Linked DNA regions of Sus scrofa. The protein of the gene in region 1 purifies or fractionates together with the protein of each later gene. This does not show direct contact. Links are inferred from orthologs where the notes say so. Each region holds a gene or a part of one and is shown in the gene's direction. Other genes may lie near its edges.

Region 1 (5,032 bases):
TTTTGGTCTTTCTGCCTTTTCTAGGGCCGCTCCTGTGGCATATGGAGGTTCCCAGGCTAGGGGTCTCATCAGAGATGTAGCCGCCGGCCTACACCAGAGCCACAGCAACTCAGGATCCGAGCCATGTCTGCGACCTACACCACAGCTCACGGCAACGCCCGATCCTTAACCCACTGAGCAAGGCCAGGGATAGAACCCGCAACCTCATGGTTCCTAGTCGGATTCGTTAACCACTGAGCCACAACGGGAACTCTTCTCTATTTAAATTTTTATAGAAACTAAAATTTTACTGGAAATACAGCTCTTAAGAGAGGGTATTTTCCTCTCAATTAGTCCATGTATGTGAATGAATATTATTTTTTTATTAGAGGAAGACATAAACACAGAAAACTTGTTCACCTACGGAAGTGGATAGGACTGTGAGGAGTTTGTTACATTAAACAGTGTCACTCAGTCACTCAATTCTTTGAATTCTTTCTTTTTTTTTTTTTGGCCACCTGGAAGCACATGGATATGGAGTTCCCTAGCCAGGGATCAGATCCCAGCTGCGGTTGCCGTCTACACTGCAGCTGTGGCAACCCTGGATCCTTAACCCACTGTGTGGGGCTGGTGATCAAACGTGCGTCCTTCTTTCTGAGTTTTCTGTTAACAATCACTTTTATCACTAAAAACTATATATATATAGTCTTTTTAAGGTCACATGTGCCCTAACTATTGAGGTTCCCACGATAAGGATCGAATCAGAGCTGTAGCCGCTGGCCTACACCACAGCTCATGGCAATGTCGGATCCTTAACCCACTGAGCGAGGGCAGGGATCGAACCTGCGTCCTCATGGATACTAGTCAGATTTGTTTCCATTGAGCCACAACAGGAACTCCACTAAATACTATATTTAATGATATATTATCTAACAATTCAATACAATTTTTTGCTTAGTTTTGTTGAAAGCAAATTATTGGAAACCATTTAAATTATAAAGAGATGTTACCTAGATTCTGACCCTTCCCCATTTCAAATTCAAGACACTTATATATTTAAGGCTAGATTAGCATTTGCCTTGGGACGCTCGTGGGAAAAGATGGAAACAGAAGCTGACAGCCACGCTGGCGGGGTTGCTGCCTGCTGAAGACCAATCCTCTAATTCCAAGCACTTCTAGAATGGCCAGGAAAGGTTGACTGAAGCTGGCCTGGTCCTGAGTAGAGCGGCGTGTCCGCCGTCTGCCCTTGGTACGCTGGGAGAACAACATTCCAATTTAAAGGAGGCGTTGGCGAAGCAGGGAAATAAAGGGGTTTCCCTTCGGCGCAGGCCCGTCCGCAAGGCCCGGGAGCTCAGTGCCGCGAAACGCAGCAGGCCCTCTCGTAAGGCAGACTTTTCATTTTCACTCGCCAACGTGGAGAATCCGGTCAGAATAGCAGCTGCAGTGGGGAAGTCAGAGCAGTCACGTAAGAGGTTTCACTCTCAGAGACTTGGCCTAGAACTTGGAGGCCTGCTGCACAGTACGCGAGCTTTTAAGCCGCCCACACCCCGATTCACCCGCACTGCGCCGTTATCTCTCTGACTGACATCTTTGTCAGCCAATGACCTTTGTGGCTGTGAAAGCGCCTGCCCCCTGGAGTTGGGCAGAGCAAGTAATCGGAATGACAACCATACGCACCAATAGCAAGGAGGTTTCAGAAGCTACGGGTACACTAGCCAATGAGGAGAAGGAGCCGTTCGAAAGGACGTGTCAGGTAGCCAACGGCCGGCGCCGCTGAGGGGGTCGCGTGGCTTCCGTTCTAGAGGGTGGGGCGGGGTCTCAAACGGAAGGTGGTTGTTGTCCGAGCCGAAGCAGGTTTGAAAGTGGGGGTCGGGCTCGGCTGTCGTTGTCTGTAGCAGCGGCCCCGCTTCCGGGCTAGGCTGTCCGTACCCGCCCCCGCCCCGCCTCCCTTCGGACCCCTCCGTCCCAGGCCTGACTCCCTGCCCGATTCGCGCCCCGCCCGCCGCAGCTCGCTGCCGTCCCGGCCCGCACTGCGGCCCCGCCGCCGCCACTATGTCCCTGCACGGCAAACGGAAGGAGATCTACAAGTATGAAGCGCCCTGGACCGTCTACGCCATGAACTGGAGCGTGCGGCCCGACAAGCGCTTTCGCCTGGCGCTGGGCAGCTTCGTGGAGGAGTACAACAACAAGGTGGGCCGGGCAGGGGCTCGGAACCCAGCTAGAGGGACGCGGGCACCTGGAGCGCCCTTTCCCGGCCGGAGCTCAGACCCCAGGACCCTCCTGCGGACCTGCCTTAGCGCCACGGAGCGGTTCCTCTGTGTCTGGCCCTGTGCAGAGGGTTTCGCTCTCGTCTCATTTAATCCTTGCAGCATTCCTGGGTAGTCAGGAGTGTAGTTACCCGCATTTTACCGATGGGGGAACTGAGGCACCGTGTTGTGACTTGCCCCAGTCAGACAGCTATTGCGTGACGGAAACAGGTCTCAAACCCAAGTTTGCAGCGCAGAGCTGTGCCGTTTATCACGCCTATCCCCTCCTCTCCTGCAGCTTCAGTTGGGGGGCGGAGGAGGGATGAGGGAGTGATGGCTGCGAAGAAGATGCTGGAGCCCCGTGGTCCTTCTCCCCTGGCCACACTAGATTTCTATTAGGACTGTTTAGCAGGTTTCACCGCCCCCTGTTCCCTGGATTTCCCCAGCCTTTCTGCCGGGATTGCCATTGCTATTGCTGCCTCATATTCGTCCTCTTCAAAGCTATCTCTTTTTGGAAATCTTGCCAATGGCTATTGTCTTCTGCATAGAAAAGGGTGATGCTTGCCATTTGTTTTCTTGGCATCTTTCATGCTGATACAGACAAGTAACCTGGAGTAGAAGTAAGTCTTTCTGGACATCCACAATTTGAGAATCCTTTTTAGAAGCGCGGTTAATAGGAGGAAGCTTGAAGCTGGCAGTGACACATAAATTTAGTTTTGGAAGTTGAATAAGTTAGTGGAAAGAATTTTCTTTCCATTACTCCGTAGTTTGCCATTTATTGTATTAGAGTAAGCGTTGTGATTGACTGATAGTGATCAGAGCAACTGAGAGCCATGCTTAGTGGTGTTTAAAACCTGTACACCTGCTTGACACCAGGAACAGTCTAATTTAAGAATAAATTGTGGGCAGAGGCATGGTGCAGGGGAAAAGGCCAGGTGCTCTAGGATTAGGCCTTGTCTAGTCCACTGATTAGCTGTGGGACACTGCATAGGTAAGTTTTATTATTTCTGACCCACAGTTTGTTGTAGGAAAGAAGTCCTTTAGAAAACATTTGAGCATTGTAATTTTGTTTGCAGGTTTTCAGGAGCACATCTTAGAATTAGATCTTAAGGAGTTCTGGTTGTGGCTCAGCAGTGACGACCCGACTAGGATCCATGAGGAGGCTGGTTGGATCCCTGGCCTTGGTCAGTGGGTTAAGGGTCTGGCGTTGCCAGGAGCTGTGGTGTAGGTCACAGACACAGCTTGGATCCCAAGTTGCTAGAGCTGTGGTGTAGGCCGGCAGCTGCAGCTCCAATTTGACCCCTGGCCTGGGAACTTCCATATGCTGTATGTATGCCTTCCCTCCCCCCAAAAAAATTAGGTCTTAAATTTTTTGTAATCCTTTTTGAGAAATTGATGAGAACAATGGACTCTTGTTGCCCAGACATCCCACATACACACTTTACAAACAAATCCCTGAAAGTATGCACTGATCTCGGAGTCCACGATTTCCCACAGAAACCAGAGAGTCCTGAAAAGACATAGCTTTATTTTTCTTCTGGAGCCTCTTTCTTCCTTATGGCACATAGTGGACCGCAGAGCTGCTAAAGTGAAATTCAGGGTCCTGATGTGTAAACTGAATTAGTAAAGTTGAGAGCACTAGAACTGTTGTTTAAGAATACATGTTTAAACAAAGGGGGGGTGGTAGTAAAATACATCTTTCAAAGGGCTTGAGTCTTTTCACACAGACGGATGGATTTTTTTTTCTTGCAAGGTCAATTTAGGTAAGCAGTAGCAGCCCCATTTCTAAGAGATGAGAAACCAAGCCACAGTTAGGCTGCTGGTAGAATCAGTGGAGTAATTGGTGTCAAACTTTGGTTGCAGGAACTCTGCCCCCAAATTTATCCTTTCAATTATGGAGCTCCTTCTTTGTGCCAGGCACGCAGGCAGTGTGGTTTTAGTCGTAAAATGCTAATTGATAATCCCAGTAGTAATAGAATAAGCAGTTACCTCTGTCTTAACTCACTTGCGTAATGTGGGCAACGTGGTGTCTTAAAATGGTTTTTGTGTCCCCTGCCCCAGGTCAGAGTTCTTGTGTGTGTATATGTGTTTGATGGACAGCTTTGGCAGTCGGAAGCCAATAGACCTCTGTTCATAATTATGTTTTCAAATGCATAAAATACATGGGATTACAAAGGAAACCAACCATATGACTCATAGTTACTAAAAACATTTTTTGGAGTTTTCTCATGGTGCAGCGGGTTAAGGATCCGGTGTCGTCACTGCATCGCCTTGAGTTGCTGCTATGGCTCTGGTTCAATCTGATCCCTGGCCCTAGAACTTTCGAGTGCCGTGAGCATAGCAAAAGGCAAAACTATTTATTTTTTTTAGAAGTAGGTTAGAAGAGGTTTAGTGAATATACTGCTAAGGGAAGCAGTGGGCAGGAGAGCTTGTCTGTCCTGGGCTAGTGGTTTGGGCTCTTTTTATTAAGGGAACTGGCTTCTGACTGTCCTGTCTCAGTTTCCCCCATGTAAATAAGGGATTGAAACATGGCAGTTCTGAAAAAAAATTTTTTTTAAGTGGTAATGCGTACTTTTAAATTAACTCATTAAATCACATCAACCATTTTAATCATTAATTTTGAAGTACCCATAAGGGTAAACAGCATCTCAGTATATTCACTGTAATGTGATAGGAAAAACATCGGTGATTTCTATTGGTGACAAATCAGATATGGATGCTGCTGTGAGTAGCTGCCTCCATTTATAATGGAAGGAAATGCTACATTTCAGCTAGAGGTTGTGAAAATATAAAAGTGATTTTCCAAC
Region 2 (5,329 bases), on another chromosome or scaffold:
GCTGTAGTGCAGGTCACAGGTGTGGCTCAGATCAGGTGTTGCCTTGAGCAGCTGCAGCTCCAATTCAACCCTAGCCTGGGAACTTCCATAAGCATCAGGTGTGGCCCTAAAAAGAAAAAAAAAAAAAAAAAAAAAAACATACCATCTCCATCCGACATGTCCTTTTGAAGGCGGCAGCATTCCTTTAAAAGAAAGCCATGGGACCACCAGCTGTTCCTGCTAAGCCCAGGAACAAGTCCATCCTTGTAAGTAAAAGACCCAAAGAAGTGAACTTCCGCTGTCTACAGGCTTGCCTGGTTACTGACTTCTGGTAGTGACAGAAAAATCTCAATTTTCAGTGACAGATGTGGGCCAGCTAAAGCTAGAGGCAGCAACATAAGCCCACAAAGGTTTAGGAGTCTTTATCCAAGTTTGAGCCAAAGGAAAAAGGCCAGGAAGAAACAAGAGGCCTATTTGGAATTGTGACCTGCCACACGAATTTACACTGGGGGTTTATAATTGAACGTCATAGTATCTTCGAGCTGTTCATTGTGTACTTGCTTATACACAGAATACATTAACAGGAAAACCCTTTTTTCCCCATGCTTTAAAGAAAAACTGCACAGCGGGCATCATTACACATTTCCTACACTTCATAACTATCTAATGAGCCAAATGGATTACAGGATTTGTTATTCTGAATAAGGAAACACTGAACTGGCCAAGCTAAAGTGAATTGAGATGTGGCTCCAAAAGCCAAAATGGCCTTGGAGCATCACTGTAAGCTACAGAGTAAGTGGGCCAGGTATCAGGAGGGGTTAAATGATCAACCACCTGGTGACAAAGTCAATTCCTCACTTTCAGGCCACAGGTTAAATGTTATAATCCATGCATCCATTTCCACATTTGAGTATCCAATAAAAGCTAGGAATAATACGAGTCAAGTCCCACTCTATGTCAGATGGAGGTCAGGGAGGCACGAAACCCACAACAAATAAATCTAAACCCAGAAAACATTACGTCGTGATTTGTGCTCCAAAGAAAAAGCAACAGAGGATCTGGTACTTTTTAGACAAGTTGCTAAGAGAGATCTTTCGGAGGCACCATAACGTAGGGCTTCAGAGTGGGACTCAGATCAAGACTGGGCAATTTTGCTTCTTCCTAGCTAACTTTGGGCAAGTTACTGGAGTATTTGTGCAAAACAGCTATCTCTTTAACAAACACTTGAACAGAGCTTGTTAAGGGCCAGGCACTGTTTCCCCTGAATCCGTAGAGCAGCGGTAAAGAGAGAAGCTATTGCTACCACTGCCATTTTTGCAGACAAATCACCTTCCCAAAGACACAGCTGGTAAGCGGCAGAGCTGTGACCCCCACCCCGACAGTGTGAGTCCAGTACACATCGTATAAGACCGCGCCGAACTAAGGGACTTATTCGCCTCCAAACGCTAGGAACCGGTCCCGGCGGCCAGATCCCAGTACCAGCGCACGCGCCCGAGGCGCGCACAAGCCCTGAGCCCCAAACGCCAGGCCTCGAGCCGAGGCAGCGGCCCGCGACTTCCCGCCCCCCTGCGCCGACACGGACCCGCTGCACCACAGACTCAACAGACGACTACGAGCCCTACGCCGCGCCCGCACCCAGGACCGCGGCCCAAACTACGCGCCGCGCGCGGGGCTGACCTCACCTCTTCCTCCCTCCATCGCGAGATTTCCAGCAGGTTTAAAAAAAAAAAAAAAAAAAAAAAAAAAAAGCGGACTCTACCATCTTCGCGAAGCCAGGGTGGGAAGGAGGGAGAAAACAATGCTCTGAGTCAATGATCTCATCGTTGGGAGCACTATCGAGAAACATCAGATTTTACAGATTTAATAAGTGTCTAAATCCTATCTACTACCGGCTTGTGGGTTCTAAAGTTCGCGTTCGTGTCTTCAAACTGTCCCCCCCACAGCTTCCCGGATGATAGAAGTTGCCGAAGGCCGCTGATTCCAGAAGGTACTGTCTGGCGTTAAACTAGTCTCAGGTGAGAAATAAGTCTCGAGCGGCCTGTGCTGCGCACGCGCGAGCTCTTGGCGCCCTCCCGCGAGAGGAAAGTACTCTCTCGGTTCCGGAGTGGACACCGCCGGTTGCGGGAGAGAACTCCTGCTGCTGCCGCACCATGGCGTCCGTGGGGACCCTCGCCTTCGACGAATATGGCCGCCCTTTTCTCATCATCAAAGATCAAGACCGCAAGTCTCGTCTTATGGGACTCGAGGCCCTCAAGGTAACGGGACTGGGACGCCCTGGATGAGCGGAGGACCCCGAACCCCTGGCTCCGCGCGTGCGCACATTTAAGAGCCGTTCTGCCATGTGCTCTCGGGGAAGGTCGGGGAGCCCCTCTTTGGTCTCCAGTGCTGCACCCAACGCCTTGGGCCTGGGAAAGACCAACATAGAGGCCTTTAGTCCCAGTTTGAGGGTTTGGGTGTCCCTCAAGCGCTCTCCAGAGCTGGGTGGGGCAGCCTCAATTCACAGGCGGAGAACGCGCGTCCCCGCTGGCTTCTCCAGCGTGCTGTCGTTCCGACGGCGCATGTATCAGTAAGCTGCAGAGGAGGTATTTCTCGGGTCCCCTGGCAGATTAGGACCCTGCTTCTTTACCTTCAGTCGGTATACCTGCGACAGCCCCAAAGGAAAAGAGGTTCATACTCTTCGTTGCTTCCTTAAAGGCTTAGTCATTGACAGCGCATTTCATTTTTGAGTCCTTCTATGCACGGCGTAATCCTGGATGTGGTATTATAAAAACTGAAAACGTACACCTTTAAGGAAGAAAATACTACTACAAGAGTGAAAGTGGGAGTTCCCGTCGTGGCTCAGTGGGTTAACGATCCGGCGTTGCCGTGAGCTGTGGTGTAGGTTGCAGACACAGCTCAGATCCTACGTTGCTGTGGCTCTGGCGTAGGCCGGTGGCTACAGCTCCGATTCGACCCCTAGCCTGGGAACCTCCATATGCCGTGGGAGCGGCCCAAGAAATGGCAAAAAGACCAAAAAAAAAAAAAAAAGAGTGAAAAGTGGTCGCCAATAACTATGACATAAGGCAGTGTGTGACCAGAACCACGGGATATGGGAGGCAGTGCAGGAAAAAGCTGGAGGGGATCCTTCAGACGGTCAATGGAGGGGTTTTGAGCAGAATCACAAGTAGAACTATGCCAGAGGAAGTAGGCTTTGAGATAGACCATGTCGCCAGGCCTGAGGTGTCCCTGTTTGCTTAGTGTCTTGGGGTTTTATTTAAGAAGCAGTGCAGTTCTTTCTCCCCTGAACTGTTTGACCTAAAACAAGTTAACACCACCTCTCTGAACCTCCTTTCCCAGCAGGGGCAGCACACCTCTTTCCGGCTTGGGAGGGAAATTAAATGGGGTAACTTATCCAATCTTTGACCCATGGTAGGTAGGCGAGCCACTTGTGTTACATATTTAATTCCATTTTTCACTGAAAGGACCATTAGAGAAAGTGCCACTCAATGCATGCACCCCAAAAACAGAAGCTACAGGTGATTTTGTGTCAGCCACATCTCATGTAATTCTCACACTCTGAGACAGGTATTATTTTATATAATTGGAAACTTGGCCCCAGAGCAGGTAGATGATTGCTTGCGGTCCCAGCGCTGGTAAAGATCAGGTTCCATGGTTCACGCCCAGCTCTGTCTGATTCTGCGGTCAGTGGTCTGAGGCCTACGTCTCAGCCTTGGCACTATTGATATTTGGGGCTGGATCATTCTTTGTTGTGGCATCTGTCCTGTTCTGATGTTTAGCAGCATCCCTGGCCTCTACCCCCTATGGTCCCCTTCCTAATTGTGACAACCAAAGATGTCCCCAGACATTGCCTGGAGGTCTCCTCAGGGGCGAATCACCCCTGATTAAGAACCACGTCCCCATGTTAGTATCCTTTAGAAATTCCGTTGTACAGACATCAGAGTGTATTTTAATGGCTGCCAGTATCTCTGCAAACCTAGTGAACTTTGTGTCTTTTGTTACCTGCTAAATGGGGTGGCACGGGAAGCCTTCACAGAACACGTGCTCTTGAACTGCTTAGGAAGTTGTCAGGATCTTGGGGTGGAGGGCCTTCTGTGCATCAGTGCTTCGGGGATCAGGCCATATTGGGGGAACAGACTGTCCTCAGTGAAAGGAAGCCAGGCTCCGACTGGACGGCTTTGAACAAAGAGGCTTGAGGTACTGGGGAGCTATTTTAGGTCTGGGGATTGATAAGCAACATGTTTGAGAAGAATGGATGGCTCAGCTGGCCGGAGGGTGACTGAAGGATGGCATAAGAGACCCTGGGCATTTGTAAGGTGCTGTGGATCTGGGCTAATGATGTTGGTGACAGCAAGAATAGAGAGGGGACGTCCTATTATGGCTCAGTGGTTAATGAACCCATCTAGCATCCATGAGGACGCGGGTTCAATCCCTGGCCTCACTCATTGGGTTGAGGATCCGGCATTGCCATGAGCTGTGGTGTAGATCACAGATGCAGCTCGGATCCCACGTTGCTGTGGCTGTGGTGTAGGCCTGCGGCTACAGCTCCCATTGGACCCGTAGGCTGGGAACTTCATATGCTGCAGGTGCGGCCCTAAGATGACAAAAGACAAAAAAAAAGAAGAAGAATAGGGAGACAGGAAAGCAGACATTCAGAGGGAAAATGAGTGTAATTGTGCAGAAGGAGGAAAGGATGCATTCGGGCTCCCGTTATTTCCAGCATTGACCCCCTCGGCGGGTGACTCTTGGTTGTGGATTATGTGCTGGCTGGACCATTTGAGAGAGGAGAGTGGATGAGGTTAGCGTCTCACGGTGGACCTGCAAGGCCTGTCACATCAGACCGTCTATGCTCTTGGCTGTAAAATGGGCCCTGAGAACCTACCTGCCTCATAGATGGGCTGAGGATTAAAGAGAGAATGCGGAGAGCATTTGGTTCTGTCTGTGTATGTGGGAATTCTCTCCTAACACCACCAGTTGTGGAGTTGTCACAGTTAGGTAAGGACCTGTCTGCTGCCTCTTCTAGAGAATGCAGACTATGTCGTAAGTGATTTTATAACCATCAGTTATATGCTCTTAACTCTTAAAATTATACATAACTTGAATATTGGTTGTTTCTGTTTCGTTTAGTCTCACATAATGGCAGCAAAGGCCGTAGCGAATACAATGAAAACATCACTTGGACCAAATGGTAAGAGACACAACATTCTGTGTTTTGTAAAACAAGTTTAAATCATAAAATAGTCAGTACAACCTCTTTACAGAAAGTTAGGAATTGAAGGAATGCATCCTCCCCCAATATGGGCAAACATTTGTTGTGATCCAGACCTTAAACGTGGTTGTGGGCATGATGTGC

The links. The genes of interacting proteins can lie anywhere in the genome.
Region 2: the proteins of DCAF7 (region 1) and CCT5 purify together in Homo sapiens (affinity purification with mass spectrometry; 4 studies listed by BioGRID and IntAct, counting the BioPlex papers as one, with this or other methods). This does not show direct contact. The link is inferred for Sus scrofa from reciprocal best matches to the Homo sapiens genes DCAF7 and CCT5.

What each region holds. Positions count from the first base shown.
Region 1 is NC_010454.4:15,347,744-15,352,775, reverse strand, and holds the start of DCAF7 (DDB1- and CUL4-associated factor 7), read left to right. Parts: upstream 1-1,779; 5' UTR 1,780-2,031; coding exon 2,032-2,169; intron 2,170-5,032. UniProt on the Homo sapiens protein: Involved in craniofacial development. Acts upstream of the EDN1 pathway and is required for formation of the upper jaw equivalent, the palatoquadrate. The activity required for EDN1 pathway function differs between the first and second arches.
Region 2 is NC_010458.4:72,219,855-72,225,183, reverse strand, and holds the start of CCT5 (T-complex protein 1 subunit epsilon), read left to right. Parts: upstream 1-1,981; 5' UTR 1,982-2,129; coding exon 2,130-2,234; intron 2,235-5,103; coding exon 5,104-5,164; intron 5,165-5,329. UniProt on the Homo sapiens protein: Component of the chaperonin-containing T-complex (TRiC), a molecular chaperone complex that assists the folding of actin, tubulin and other proteins upon ATP hydrolysis.